Anolis sagrei: one gene and its partners. The protein of the gene in region 2 purifies or fractionates together with the protein of the main gene of each other region. This does not show direct contact. Links are inferred from orthologs where the notes say so. Each region holds a gene or a part of one and is shown on either strand. Other genes may lie near its edges. The genes, in order: MPHOSPH6, EXOSC4 and HBS1L.

Region 1 (5,200 bases), on a different chromosome or scaffold from region 2:
GCAAACTTGGTTTGGAAAAGAAGGGAATGAGTATTGGTAACTTTGCCAGAGAGAGAACTGGAGAGAGAGAACTAGAGAGAGAACCTGTGCCTTTAAGGCATTTCAATAGGTATAGTTTGTATGTTGTGTTTTCTCATCGGCTTCCCTATGCGGTCAATGGTTCCCTTGATGTATGGCAAGAACACTTTTCCTCTGGGTGGATCTTCATCTTTACTCTCATGGCTTGTTCTTGGTCTTGCAGCTCTTCTGATGTCTGAGGTGGAGTCTCCATTGGCCTGGAGAGCGCAGTTGAGGTGGTTCAGTTCATCTTGGAGGAGGTGGGGTTCGCAGATTCTTTTTGCACGGTCTACCAAGGCTTTAATGGTGCTTCTTTTTTGACTTGGGTGATGGTTGGAGTTTTTATGTAGATATCTATCTGTGTGTGTGGGTTTTCTGTGGACGGTGTGACCCAATTGTTGATCTGGTTTGCGGATGACTAGGACATCTAGAAAAGACAGTCTTCTTTCATTTTCTTTTTCTATAGTGAATTGGATATTTGGGTGGATGCTGTTCAGATGGTCCAGGAACCTGTTGAGTTCTTCTTCTCCGTGGCTCCAAATGGTGAAAGTGTCATCCACATATCTGAACCATATCGTGGGCTTTTTTGTTGCTGTCTCCAGGGCTTGTTTTTCAAAGTGTTCCATGTAGAAATTAGCTATGACCGGGCTGAGAGGGCTCCCCATAGCTACTCCATCTTTCTGTTCGTAGAATTCATTGTTTCACCATTGCCTCACCATCAGCTACTTTCAGTGGGACAATGAAGTCTATGAAGGAAGACTGCCTTTTCAAGATGTCCTAGTCATCCGCAAACCAGATCAACAATTGGGTGTACAGAGAATAACAATTAAGATCCACCCAGAGGAAAAGTGTTCTTGCCATACATCAAGGGAACCACTGACCGCATAGGGAAGCTGATGAGGAAACACAACATACAAACTATCTACAGACCCACCAAGAAAATTCAACAAATGCTACGTTCAGCAAAGGACAAGAAGGATCCTCTCACCTCTGCAGGAGTCTACCGTATACCATGCAGCTGTGGACAAGTCTACATAGGGACCACCAAACGCAGCAATGCCCAAACACGAATCAAGGAACATGAAAGGCACTGCAGACTACTCCAACCAGAGAAATCAGCCATAGCAGAGCACCTGATGAACCAACCTGGACACAGCAGATTATTTGAGAACACAGAAATGCTGGACCACTCCAACAACCACCATGCCAGACTACACAGAGAAGCCATTGAAATCCACAAGCATGTGGACAATTTCAACAGAAAGGAAGAAACCATGAAAATGAACAAAATCTGGCCACCAGTATTAAAAAACTCAAAAATTGCAACAGCAAAACAAGTAAACAGAGTAAACAATCAGGCAAATCAAATCACTCTCAACAAAAGATTCCCCCCAGGCACTTCCAAGCCATTAAATGCTAATCAAGGTGGTCAGTTGAAACATTCACACCTAGCTCCAGCAGACAAAAGTCCTTTGTCTCACCCTGGTATTTCCACAGATATATAAACCCATTTTCCTACTTCCAACAGACCTCACTACCTCTGAGGATGCTTGCCATAGATGCAGGCGAAACGTCAGGAGAAAATGCCTCTAGAACATGCCTCTACAACAACCCAGTGATTCCGGCCATGAAAGCCTTCGACAATACCTTGTAGTTTTGCTGCCTGGACTCAATGCCAAGGAATCTTGGGATTTGGAGTTTGGTGAGCCACCAGCACTCTGTGGTAGCGAAGGCTAAAAGGCCTGTAAAGCTACAACTCCCACAATGTATTGTCGAAGGCATTCATGGCTGGAATCAATAGGTTCTTGTGGGGTTTTTTTGGGCTATATGGCCATATTCTAGAGGCATTTTCTCCTGACGTTTCACCAGCATCTATGGCAAGCATCCTCAGAGGTAGTGAGGTCTGTTTGGAACTAGGACAATGGGTTAATATATCTGTGGAATGACTGGGGTGGGGCAAAGAGCTCTTCTCTGCTGGAGCTGGGTGAGAATGTTTCAACTGACCACCTTCATTAGCAATTGAAGGGAGAATCTTTTGTTGAGAGGTGTGAAGCTGTGCTTGGTTGTTTCCTCTCTGCTGTTTTGCTGTTGTCATTTTTGAGTTTTTTAACTCCCACAATCCTTGAGTCACGGCAGTCAAAGTGCATTAATCCAGCAGTGTAGGGCATGTCTAGTTAAAGCTTATGCGCATGCTCCCTGCCAGGTTCTGAAAGGGCCGGAAGAGCAGCTTCACTGCCTGTAACTGAGCATGCGTACGATTGACGCACCCCGGGCATGCGCAGTCGCAAGAGAGGCGAAGGCGAGTCTGAAGAGACGCCGCGCCGCCACGTGACGAGTCCAGGCGGGCCCTCCACACCTTCTTTCGGCCATGGCTCGCGACGTGAAGAGCAAACTGTCCAAAAACCTTCTCCGCATGAAGGTAATGGGGCGGCGGGAGGGGGAGAAAGAACCGGTTTCATGGCCCTTTCGGGAGTGGGCGGGGTCTAGGCGGCTCTTCCCGAGCGGCTTCGGCAAGCGTCGGCTAGCCCCTCCCACTTCCGAAGCCCTTCGGCCGCAGGAGGCGAGGTGCGGGGAGAGGAGCCGAGTGGTCTCGGGAAGAGTCGCTAGGCCCCTCCCACTTAAAGCCCTACATCAGTGGTTCTCAACCTTCCTAATGCCGTGACCCCTTAATACAGTCCCTCATGTTGTGGTGACCCCCAACCATAATATTGTTTTCAATGCTACTTCGTAACAATCATTTTACTACTGTTATAAATCATAATGTAAATATCAGATATGCAGGGTGCATTTTCATTCACTGGACCAAACTGGCCACAAATACCCAATACACCCAAATGTGAATGCTAGTAAGGTTGGGGGAGGATTGATTTTGTAATTTGGGAGTTGTGTTGTTGTTCATTCGTTCAGTCGTCTCCGACTCTTTGTGACCTCATGGACCAGCCCACGCCAGAAACAGACATAGAATCATAAAAACAGACATAGAATAATAGAATCAAAGAGTTGGAAGAGACCTCATGGGCCATCCAGTCCAACCCCCTGCCAAGAAGCAGGAATATTGCATTCAAATCACCCCTGACAGATGGCCATCCAGTCTCTGTTTAAAAGCTTCCAAAGAAGGAGCCTCCACCACACTCCGGGGCAGAGAGTTCCACTGCTGAACAGCTCTCACAGTCAGGAAGTTCTTCCTCGTGTTCAGATGGACTCTCCTTTCTTGTAGTTTGAAGCCATTGTTCCGCGTCCTAGTCTCCAGGGAAGCAGAAAACAAGCTTGCTCCCTCCTCCCTGTGGCTTCCTCTCACATATTTATACATGGCTATCATATCTGCTCTCAGCCTTCTCTTCTTCAGGCTAAACATGCCCAGCTCCTTAAGCCGCTCCTCATAGGGCTTGTTCTCCAGACCCTTGATCATTTTAGTTGCCCTCCTCTGGACACATTCCAGCTTGTCAATATCTCTCTTGAATTGTGGTGCCCAGAATTGGACACAATATTCCAGGTGTGGTCTAACCAAAGCAGAATAGAGGGGTAGCATGACTTCCCTAGATCTAGACACTATGCTCCTATTGATGCAGGCCAAAATCCCATTGGCTTTTTTTGCCGCCGCATCACATTGTTGGCTCATGTTTAACTTGTTGTCCACGAGGACTCCAAGATCTTTTTCACACGTACTGCTCTCAAGCCAGGCATTGTCCCCCATTCTGTATCTTTGCATTTCGTTTTTCCTGCCTAAGTGGAGTACCTTGCATTGGTTCCTGTTGAACTTCATTTTGTTAGTTTTGGCCCATCTCTCTAATCTGTCAAGATCGTTTTGAATCCTGCTCCTGTCCTCTAGAGTATTGGCTAAGGTAAAGGTAAAGGTAGTCCCCTGACATTAAGTCCAGTCATGTCTGGCTCTGGGGTGCGGTGCTCATCTCCATTTCTAAGCCGAAGAGCCAGCGTTGTCCGTAGACACCTCCAAGGTCTTGTGGCCAGCATGACTGCATGGAGCGCCGTTACCTTCCCGCCGGAGCGGTACCTATTGATCTACTCACATTTGCATGTTTTCGAACTGCTAGGTTGGCAGAAGCTAGGGCTGACAGCGGAAGCTCACGCCGCTCCCCGGAATCAAACCTGCGACCTTTCGATCAACAAGCTCAGCAGCTCAGTGCTTTAACCCACTGCACCACCGGGGGCACCAGAGTATTGGCTATCCCTCCCAATTTGGTGTCGTCTGCAAACTTGATGATCCTGCCTTCTAGCCCTTCATCTAAGTCATTAATAAAGATGTTGAACAGGACCGGGCCCAGGACAGAACCCTGCTGATGGCACTCCACTTGTCACTTCTTTCCAGGATGAAGAGGAAGCATTGGTGAGCACCCTTTGGGTTCGTCCATTTAACCAATTACAGATCCACCTCACTGTAGTTTTGCCTAGCCCACATTGGACTAGTTTGTTTGCCAGAAGGTCATGGGGGACCTTGTTGAAGGCCTTACTGAAATCCAGGTACGCTACATCCACAGCATTCCCCGCATCTATCCAGCTTGTAACTCTATCGAAAAAAGAGATCAGATTAGTCTGGCATGACTTGTTTTTGATAAATCCATGTTGACTATTAGCGATGACCGCATTTGTTTCTAAGTGTTTGCAGACCACTTCCTTAACAATCTTTTCCAGAATCTTGCCTGGTATCGACGTGAGGCTGACTGGACGGTAATTGTTTGGGTCATCCTTTTTCATCATCATCATCATGTTCCTCATGGGACATACTTCTTACCAGCACAATCAAATTCTCCTCTTCCTTTACATTTTAGCTTAAGATGTTTACTTCAGACCAAAGGTCGTCCTTGTTTTAATTGGAACTAAAGGTCGTTCTTATTTTGGCCAAGTTTTGCCTCCACTTCCAATGGCAGGACCTGCCAATGTGCTAATGTTACTTGTGGTTTCCTCGTCTCATTTAATTTCTCCCTCTCTGCTCCAACCCATCAGCGTAGTCACGTGGAGATGGTCCAGCGAGAGATATTAACAAGAGCCCTGACCTCACCATTGCCCTTGGATTTGCAAATCCGGTGCTGAGCCCAAAGTGGAATTAGTCTCGGCTCGGCGGTTAATGGACTCCGTTCCTGTCCTATAATGTAACACATCACTCAGTGGAAGAACGCAGTGGCGA
Region 2 (5,200 bases):
CTACTCCTCTGTTGCGCCAGCTCCACTGGCTGCCAGTCAGCTTCCGAGCACAATTCAAAGTGCTGGTCTTAACCTATAAAGCCCTAAACGACTCCGGCCCAATTTACCTGTCCGAACAGGTAACAGGTATCCTTCCCTATGAACCATCAAGATTGCTAAGATTGTCTGGAGGGGCCCTGCTCTCAATCCCACCGGCCTCACAGGCGCGGCTGGTGGGGACGAGAGACAGGGCCTTCTCGGTGGTGGCCCCTCGACTCTGGAACTCAGAAGAGATCAGAACTGCCCCTTCGATCTTAACGTTCAGGAAACAGGTGAAAACCTGGCTTTGGGGATTGGCATTCGACGAATGAGCCATGACCCTGTGATATGGATGGATGACGACGAATAATGATTTTTGATGACGACTGACCACTGTAATCACATGACTGTATTTTTGCTATTTTAATGTTTTAGTGTGATTTAGAATATGATGTTGTAATGACTGTCTGTAATATTGATGTTGGAAAGCGGTCTGGGTCCCTCGAACGGAGGTGAGAAGACCAATATACAGAACTGCTCAATAAATAATTAAAATAATAAGAATAATTCAGAAGTTGTAATGTTTACAAAGAAGGAAACATCGCTATGGCGCCCCCTCTCGCTACAGGCGCGCCACTGCAGGCCTTGGCTCCTCCCCTTCCTCCTCATTGGCTGTCTTTATGTCCCCGCCCCTTTGCTTCCCCCGCCATTCCTCGTCTCCCTCTCGCTAGAAGCTCCTCCTCCTTATTGGCTCAGTCGCAGAAAAGGGGCGTGGTTATCGTTGCGACCCCGCCCCCTTAATGCTCCTTCCATTTAGGCGCCTCTCTGTGCTCTCTGCTTCAAGCCCCTCCCCTTCTTCCCTATTGGATGGGGAGCAGGGAAGGGGCGTGGTTATCGTTCCGGCCCCGCCCCTTGCTGCTCTCTCCATTCAGGCGCCTTTCTGTGCTCTCTGCTTCAGGCCCCTCCCCTTCTTCCCTATTGGATGGGGAGCAGGGAAGGGGCGTGGTTATCGTTGCGACCCCGCCCCTTGCTGCTCTCTCCATTTGGGCGCCTTTCTGTGCTCTCTGCTTCAGGCCCCTCCCCTTCTTCCCTATTGGATGGGGAGCAGGGAAGGGGCGTGGTTATCCTTAAGTCCCCGCCCCCTAGCTTCACCCGCCAGAGAGGTGCCTTCTCTCTGCTCTCGCTTCAGGCCCCTCCCCTTCTTCCCTATTGGATGGGGAGCAGGAAAGGGGCGTGGTTATCGTTCCGGCCCCGCCCCCTTGCTGCTCCATCCATTCAGGCCCCTCCTCTTCTTCCCTATTGGCCGGGGAGGAGGGAAAAGGGGGCGTGGTTATCCTTCAGGCCCCGCCTCCTTGCTGCTCCCTCGCCATTCAGACGCCTCTCTCTGCTCTAGCTTCAGGCCCCTCCCCTTCCTCCCTATTGGATGGGGAGCAGGGAAGGGGCGTGGTTATCCTTAAGTCCCCGCCCCCTTGCCGCCCCATCCATTCAGGCCCCTCCTCTTCTTCCCTATTGGCTGGGGAGCAGGGAAAGGGGCGTGGTTATCCTTAAGTCCCCGCCCCCTTGCTGATCCCGCCATTCAGGCACTTCTCTCTGCTCTCGCTTCAGGCCCCTCCCCTTCTTCCCTATTGGATGGGGAGCAGGGAAGGGGCGTGGTTATCCTTAAGTCCCCGCCCCCTTGCCGCCCCATCCATTCAGGCCCCTCCTCTTCTTCCCTACTGGCTGGGGAGCAGGGAAAGGGGCGTGGTTATATTTAAGTCCCCGCCCCCTTGCTGATCCCGCCATTCAGGCCCTTCTCTCTGCTCTCTCTTCAGGCCCCTCCCCTTCTTCCCTATTGGTTGTGGAGCAGGGGGTGGGCGTGGCTACCCTTCCTGGTTCCCGCCTTTCTCTTTCCTTGCATGATGGCGGGCCTGGAGCTGCTCTCTGCGCAGGGCTTCCGCGTGGACGGGCGCCGGGCCGGGGAGCTGCGGCAGGTGCGGGCCCGCATGGGGGTCTTCGCCCAGGCAGACGGGTCCGCCTACCTCGAGCAGGGGAACACCAAGGCCCTCGCCGTCGTCTACGGGCCCCACGAGGTAGGAAGGCAGGGGGTGGGTTCCTAGATCTAATCACCTCTCCACAAAAGATTCCCCCAGGCACAGCCAGGCCATCAAATGCTGAGAGGGCTTAGATGGGTTTATAGATCTAATCACCTCTCCACAAAAGATTTCCCCAGGCACAGCCAGGCCATCAAATGCTGAGAGGGCTTAGATGGGTTTATATATCTAATCACCTCTCCACAAAAGATTCCCCCAGGCACAGCCAGGCCATCAAATGCTGAGAGGGCTTAGATGGGTTTATAGATCTAATCACCTCTCCACAAAAGATTTCCCCAGGCACAGCCAGGCCATCAAATGCTGAGAGGGCTTAGATGGGTTTATATATCTAATCACCTCTCCACAAAAGATTTCCCCAGGCACAGCCAGGCCATCAAATGCTGAGAGGGCTTAGATGGGTTTATAGATCTAATCACCTCTCCACAAAAGATTTCCCCAGGCACAGCCAGGCCATCAAATGCTGAGAGGGCTTAGATGGGTTTATATATCTAATCACCTCTCCACAAAAGATTTCCCCAGGCACAGCCAGGCCATCAAATGCTGAGAGGGCTTAGATGGGTTTATAGATCTAATCACCTCTCCACAAAAGATTTCCCCAGGCACAGCCAGGCCATCAAATGCTGAGAGGGCTTAGATGGGTTTATAGATCTAATCACCTCTCCACAAAAGATTTCCCCAGGCACAGCCAGGCCATCAAATGCTGAGAGGGCTTAGATGGGTTTATAGATCTAATCACCTCTCCACAAAAGATTCCCCCAGGCACAGCCAGGCCATCAAATGCTGAGAGGGCTTAGATGGGTTTATAGATCTAATCACCTCTCCACAAAAGATTTCCCCAGGCACAGCCAGGCCATCAAATGCTGAGAGGGCTTAGATGGGTTTATATATCTAATCACCTCTCCACAAAAGATTCCCCCAGGCACAGCCAGGCCATCAAATGCTGAGAGGGCTTAGATGGGTTTATAGATCTAATCACCTCTCCACAAAAGATTCCCCCAGGCACAGCCAGGCCATCAAATGCTGAGAGGGCTTAGATGGGTTTATATATCTAATCACCTCTCCACAAAAGATTCCCCCAGGCACAGCCAGGCCATCAAATGCTGAGAGGGCTTAGATGGGTTTATAGATCTAATCACCTCTCCACAAAAGATTCCCCCAGGCACAGCCAGGCCATCAAATGCTGAGAGGGCTTAGATGGGTTTATATATCTAATCACCTCTCCACAAAAGATTTCCCCGGGCACAGCCAGGTCATCAAATGCTAATCGAGGTGGTCAGTTGAAACGTTCACACCTAGCTCCAGCAGACAAGAGTCCTTTGTCCCACCCTGGTCATTATTCCACAGATGTATAAACCCTAGCTCCAGCAGACAAGAGTCCTTTGTCCCACCCCAGTCATTCTACAGATATATAAACCCTTTTTCCTCGTTCCAACAGACCTCACTACCTCTGAGGATGCTTGCCATAGATGCAGGCGAAACATCAGGAGAGAATGCCTCTAGAACATGGCCATATAGCCCAAAGAAACCTACAACAACCCAGTGATTCCAGCCATGAAAGCCTTCGACAATGACATCTAATCACCTCTCAACAAAAGATTCCCCCAGGCACAGCCAGGCCATCATATGCTGAGAGGGCTTAGATGGGTTTATATATCTAATCACCTCTCAACAAAGGATTCCCCCAGGCACTCCGAGGCCATTATATGCCAATCAAGGTGGTCAGTTGAAACATTCACACCTAGCTCCAGCAGACAAGAGTCCTTTGTCCCACCCTGCTCATTATTCCACATATATATAAACCCTTTTTCCTAGTTCCAACAGACCTCACTACCTCTGAGGATGCTTGCCATAGATGCAGGCGAAATGTCAGGAGAGAATGCCACTAGACCATGGCCTCTGTGCCTGTTCAAAAGATTCCACATCACTTTCAGTTCCTGTGAGAATGGGATTTTGAAACATTTAGTTTATTGTGGAAACAAGGGTGGGAGGTATTTCCTGGGTGAGGAGGGCAGGCTAGATGACCCCCAGAGGCCCCTGGACTACCCCCGTCTCCTTCCTCTTTCCTGCAGACGCGGGGCTCGCGGTCCAAGGCGCTGCACGACCAGGCGGTGGTCAACTGCCAGTTCAGCCTGGCCACCTTCAGCACCGGAGAGCGCAAGCGGCGGCCCCACGGTGACCGGCAGACCTCCGAGATGAGCCTCCACCTCAAGCAGACCTTCGAGGCCGCCATCCTCACCCAGCTCTACCCTCGCTCCCAGATCGACATCTACGTCCAGGTGGGTGACCGGTAGGTTTCCATGCACCCCCTTGGAAACAGTCATCTAGGAGTCTTTGCAGACCCCAAGCAGAACGTGAGCCAAGAGAGTGATGCGGCAGCTCAAAAGGCCAATGCCATTCTAGGCTGCATCAGGAAGAGTTTAAAAATGAAATAGGTATAGAATGGGTGACCCCTGAAGGGACCCCAAAGGCCATCCAGTCCAACCCCTTTCTGCCAGAAAGGAAGACACCATTGGAATATGAAAACAGTATCTAAGAGTCTCAGGAGAAGACAAGCTGAACTTTTTTCTTCTCTTTTGTCATTTACACAATCAAATAAAATTATATTTTTAAAAATCAGTGGAATTCTGTGTTGGAGGCTTTTAAACAGAAGCTGGATGGCCACCTTTCTGGGAGGCTCTGATTGTGCTTTTCCTGCATGGCAGGAGGGGGTTGGAATGCATGGCTTTTGCAGTCTCTTCCAACTCTATCATTATGATTATTTTACCATTTTTCTCCTTCGCATTTGGCCCAGCTCGCCCCTATTTAATTCTTCTATCACTTTATTATGTTATTGTCACTGTTTTATTGCATTGCTATGTTATTGTTAAGCATTTTATTTGATGTTTTGTCTCTTTCATATGCATTTTATTTTGCCTTATTGCAATTACTTGGCCTTGGCCTCATGTTAGCCGCCCCAAGTCCCTTTGGGAAGATGGTGATGGGGCATACATAAAGTTTATTATTACTATTGTTGTTGTTGATAGCCATCTGTCGGGGTGTTTTGATTGTGTTCTTCGTGCATTACAGAAGTAGGTGGTCCTTGCAGGCTCTTC
Region 3 (5,200 bases), on a different chromosome or scaffold from region 2:
TAAAATTATTTTATTTCTTCCTCTGGTATTAAATTTTCTGATAAAGAGGTATACCCAAGAACACATCTGTTCTGTTAACTGAGGTATAAGGAGTCTTCAAGTTATGAACAAAATAGGTTCTGTAAGTTTGTTCTTAAATTGAAATTGTAAGTCAGAACAGGCACATTTTTTAAATGTACCTTCATCTCTCTCTCTCTGTTTTGAATTGGGTTATCTGAGGGCCCTTCCACACAGCCCTATATTCCAGAATATCAAGGGACAACATCCCACAATATCTGTTTTGAACTGGGTTATCTGAGTCCATACTCAGATGTTGGATTTTCTCCGTTGATATTCTGGGGATATAGGGCTGTGTTGAAGTGGCCTGTGTGCCTTCCCTGAATAAGGAAATAATTCCCAGCAAAATGTCCCCAGAAGCACTTTAACTACCCGTTGGGTTGCTCTCCCTTCATTTCTTTTAAACCCCTCATACCAGATACATCCTACCTCTGTTCATGCCCAGCGTTTATTTTTTAAATTTTAAACTATTACATTTGGCCTGGCCATAGGTTTTCTAAATCCTTGCGTGTTATTGTTTATATGTCAGTTATATTAATTGTATTGTTTTATTTGTTTATCGCTTTTTGTTTTATTGATGTGTTGTCTGGCTTGGCCTCATGTAAGCCGCTCTGAGTCCCCTTGGGGAAATGGTATAAATAAAGTTTTATCATTTATTTATTTATTATTTAAAACATTTATATCCGCCCTTCTCATTCCGAAAACAAACATTCAATGCCTGGATACAATACATAAACATTAAAAAACATTTATCGAAATATTAAAATACACCATTTAAAATAACACCATTTAAAACCGTCCTAGCCATCCGCATCAAATCCAATTGGCCCTGTTATCTTTCCAATTGCCGCTTCATTGCCCTGTCCCGAAAGCTTGGTCCAACAGCCAAGTTTTTACCATCCTTCTAAAGGACAGGAGGGAGGGATCCGACCTGATCTCACCAGGAAGGGAGTTCCATAGCCGGGGAGCAAACACCGAGGCGGCCCTGTCTCTCGTCCCCACCAATCGCGCCTGTGACAATGGCAGGATGGAAAGCAGGGCCTCCCCGGAGGATCTTAATCTCTGTGATGGTTACTAGCTTGGAGACCCGCCACTGCCCGGATTATTTGAGAAAGTGGGTAATGGTGGTTCTGTATGGCAAGTTTGGTCTTTATTGCTCAATGGATGATAGTTGCATTGTTTTCAGGAAGTGAGTGAAGGTACTTGAAGTCCCATCATCCATGGCCCACCCTCCAGCTAACATTATTTATTAAGAGTCCACACTGCCATATATTCCAAAAGCAGAAAATGTGAGATTTTATTCAGCTGTGTGGGAAGGATCTCAGTTTTACAGGCCTGTGTTAATTACCATCAAGCTGAGCGTATATGAAACATAAATGACCCAGGAATACGCCTCGTTTCCACTGACAGGCCTAGTCAACAAAACGTTCCTGGCCTTTCTTCCAAGCAAAGACACCCAACCTGTCAAACGAGGGCAGCTTTCGAGCGTCGACGGCCTGCGCGGTGATTGGCCGCCTGGCGCCAAGCGATTGGACATTTCCTCTGACGTAGCACATGGCCGGCGCCAGCAAACAAGGACCACGCTCTCTAGGGGCGGTGCCGTGTGTAGCTGCGCGCGAGCGCGCGCGCCCCCCAACCAGCCGTTGAAACGTCTCGAGGGCGCCGCGCATGCGCGCTCGAGCCCGAAAGGAAAACGCACGCGCGCCAAAGAGCATGCGTGGGAAGCCTGTCGCGGTAGAGGCTGGGAGGCGGGGCGTCGCTCGGTAGGCCCAAGCCGAGAAACATGGCGACTCGAAGGCGTTCTAGGTGCCCACCCTTAGGGCTGTGAGAAGGCCTACCTACCTACCACCTCGCCTCTCTACCTCAGGCCTTCATCGGCTTGCTCGCCATGGCCCGGCATAGGAACGTGCGTGGCTATAACTACGACGAAGGTAGAGAGGACTCCCCTCACAGTTCCTTTCTGCTCTTTCCTCCTTCGGGAGCCTTTTGAGAGGCGTGTCAGTGACGTCACCTGGGATCGGTTTAGATATGCTTCGGGTAGGGGGGGGGAGAGAAAGCGGGGGTTGGGCCGAACCATGGCGGGCGGGGGTGGGGGGGGGAAGGGGACGGTTTGAGAAGGTGGGCGCCCGCTTCTCATGAGTTATCCCTCCAATTATGGAACAATGGTTTGGTCCAAGCGGGTTGGAACCCCATAGCTGGCCTTGACAGGGGTGTGGCCATTTTGAACCTGGCCTGTTTTGGGAGATTTGGTTCCTAATAGAGGTTGAGGCGATGGGTGGTGCATCTCTGGAATAAATGCACTTGGACACCATTTTTAACTACCTTAACCCTGGGATATGTAGTGTGGTGAGGCACCAGCAGTCTTTGGCAGAGAAACCCATATTATTTGGGTTGTTGTAGGTTTTTTCGGGCTATAGGGCCATGTTCTAGAGGCATTCTCTCCTGACGTTTCGCCTGCATCTATGACAAGCATCCTCAAAGGACCTCACTACCTCTGAGGATGCTTGCCATAGATGCAGGCGAAACGTCAGGAGAGAATGCCTCTAGAACATGGCCATACAGCCCGACAAAACCTACAACAACCCAGTGATTCTGGCCATGAAAGCCTTCGACAACCCATATTATTTATTTATTTACTGTATTTGTATACCACCTTTTTCAGCCTGTCGGCGACTCAAGGCAGTTTACAAATCAGTAAACATAATATCATAATATAGGTTAAAATATTACAACAATATAAAACACATCAGAAGCAATTAAAAAAACATCATTAGCGTCTCCTTATAAAAATTGTCCAATTTCATCGTCGAGGCATTCGATTTCCTATATCAGTTACTCTGCATGTGTAAACGCATGCTCAACCATGTTTTCACTTGTTTTTATTCCGCCCTTTTCACCCTAAAAGGGCACTCAGGGCGGCCTTACAGCAGGCAGCGATTCAATGCCAATACATATAAAAATAAACAAATATAATTAAAACCATAGAATTAAATGTTAATTATTAAAACATAAGTTAAAACCACGCAATTGAGATTGTAGTCCAAGGCCTGTCCAATTTCAATTCCATTAGTTCGGGGTTTTTTTTTCTGTGATAGGAGCAACTTGAGAAACTGCAAGTTGCTTCTGGAGTGAGAGAATTGGCTGTCTGCAAGGACGTTGCCCATGGAACGCCAGGATGTTTTTTGATGTTTTACCATCCTTGTGGGAAGCTTCTGTCATGTCCCTGCATGGGGAGCTGGAGCTGACAGAGGGAGCTTATCCGCGCTCTCCCCGGATTCAAACCTGCGACCTGTCAGTCTTTAGTTCTGCCAGCACAAGGGTTTAACCCAGTCCGTTAACCATATTGCACTATTTATCGAGTGAATGTTTTGTCCCACAGCCACATCTTAAGCTTCTTCCTGAAAGACAGAAGGGAGAGAGCTGATTTGATTTCATTGGGGAGGGAGTTCCATAGACGAGCAGCCACCACTGAGAAGGCCCTGTCGTCCCCACTAATCGCGGTTGCAAAGGTGGTGGGATCAAGAGCAGGGCTTCCTCAGATGATCTTAACTTTTGAAGTGGATAATAGAGGGAGATATGTGAAGACAGGTAAGCTGGGCTAGAACAGTTTAGGGCTTTACAGGCTAAAGGCAGCACTTTGAATTGTGCTTGGTAGCAGACTGGCAGCCAGTGGAGCTGATGTAACAGGGGGTTGTGTGCTCCCTGTACGGCGCTCCAGTGAGCAATCAGGCTGCTTCCTGTTGGACTAATTGAAGCTTCCAAACAGTCTACAAAGGCAACTCCACATAGAGCGCGTTGCAGTATCTAGTCAGGATGTAAAAAGTGTGGACTACCGTGGCCAAGTCTGACTTCCCATACAGCAGGCATGGGCAAACTTCAGCCCTCCAGGTGTTTAGCACTTCAACTCCCACAATTCATAGCAGCCCGTATAGCTCATAAAACTTCCAGGGTCCCAAAGTATTGAGTCATGGCAGTGAAAGTGCTGTCCAACTGCATTAATTCTGCTGTGTGGATGCACTCTGTGTGACTCAATGGACACTGGGAGAACAGGGTTCAAAACCCCACTCGGCATGGGTGACCCTTGGCAAAAGCATACACTTTCAGCCACAGAAACCCTTAATTGCATAGCCATATGTCAGAAGTGGCTTGAAAGCACACAACAACAACAACAACAATAGGTCACAAATCCCTTATCTAAAATTCTTTGAACCATAAATGGTTTTGGATTTTGAAATACTTGCATTTATGTAAGGAGATGTTTCGAAAATGAGACCAAAGTCAGTACTCAAAATTCATCTACATTTCATATACACTTTATACACACCCTCTTTAACGTTCTTTTATAATGTATTTGTAATATTTTTGTAATAATTTTGTGCCTGAAACAAAGTTTGTGCATGGTGAATCATTAGAAAGCAAAGGCACCACTATTACAGCCACCAATCTGGACGACTTTGATTTGGGAACATTTCAAATTCCAGATAAGGGACACTTGTACTGATGGTCACTAAGGCTTTTCTTTAAAGCACCAAATGTTAAACATAGGATATTCTACCTGGGCCCACTGATTAGAGACAGCACATCTGTTGTGTGGCACTAGAGCGAAAAAGGGCATTGATGTTAGGTCATGCTAGGCATCCTTATCAACACAGGCAAGTGGCTGACTCTGCTGAAAGGAAGAGGAGGTGTTAAAAACCTGTCTGTGGAAAATGTAACTGATGTGTATAAACATAAATCCTGATAATGTTTTAGGATTGTACACCTAGAAGAAATATATAGGCTTATCCCTTTATTGGAGAGTCAAGATTCAGTTCAGTGTCTTCTGACACTGTTCATCAAAAGATGTACTATTTAATAATACTTATAAATATATGGTAGCCATACATCTGTTATGCTTGCCAATGTTCTGCTTTAAAAATTCAATATTCATATTGTATTTGTAGTTAGCCCTCCATATTTATGGGTTTCACTTTTGTTGATGTGATTGATATGTTCTCAGTAGAAATGTCTACGTCCTCCAGCGTGACTGTTGTCAACATCTGGCAAATTTAAGGCCAGTTATTTCTAGTTTAAATTTGTAGAAAATGTACCCATTGCTTGAGAACAGATTTATAACGAAGTCATAAATTAATAGAACTCAATG

The links.
Region 1: the proteins of EXOSC4 (region 2) and MPHOSPH6 purify together in Homo sapiens (affinity purification with mass spectrometry; 7 studies listed by BioGRID and IntAct, with this or other methods). This does not show direct contact. The link is inferred for Anolis sagrei from reciprocal best matches to the Homo sapiens genes EXOSC4 and MPHOSPH6.
Region 3: the proteins of EXOSC4 (region 2) and HBS1L purify together in Homo sapiens (affinity purification with mass spectrometry; 3 studies listed by BioGRID and IntAct, with this or other methods). This does not show direct contact. The link is inferred for Anolis sagrei from reciprocal best matches to the Homo sapiens genes EXOSC4 and HBS1L.

What each region holds. Positions count from the first base shown.
Region 1 is NC_090028.1:21,294,452-21,299,651, reverse strand, and holds the start of MPHOSPH6 (M-phase phosphoprotein 6), read left to right. Parts: upstream 1-2,332; 5' UTR 2,333-2,425; coding exon 2,426-2,476; intron 2,477-5,200. UniProt on the Homo sapiens protein: RNA-binding protein that associates with the RNA exosome complex. Involved in the 3'-processing of the 7S pre-RNA to the mature 5.8S rRNA and play a role in recruiting the RNA exosome complex to pre-rRNA; this function may include C1D.
Region 2 is NC_090024.1:2,004,970-2,010,169, forward strand, and holds the start of EXOSC4 (exosome complex component RRP41), read left to right. Parts: upstream 1-1,911; 5' UTR 1,912-1,913; coding exon 1,914-2,087; intron 2,088-4,177; coding exon 4,178-4,384; intron 4,385-5,200. UniProt on the Homo sapiens protein: Non-catalytic component of the RNA exosome complex which has 3'->5' exoribonuclease activity and participates in a multitude of cellular RNA processing and degradation events.
Region 3 is NC_090021.1:80,662,746-80,667,945, forward strand, and holds the start of HBS1L (HBS1-like protein), read left to right. Parts: upstream 1-1,751; 5' UTR 1,752-1,945; coding exon 1,946-1,988; intron 1,989-5,200. UniProt on the Homo sapiens protein: GTPase component of the Pelota-HBS1L complex, a complex that recognizes stalled ribosomes and triggers the No-Go Decay (NGD) pathway.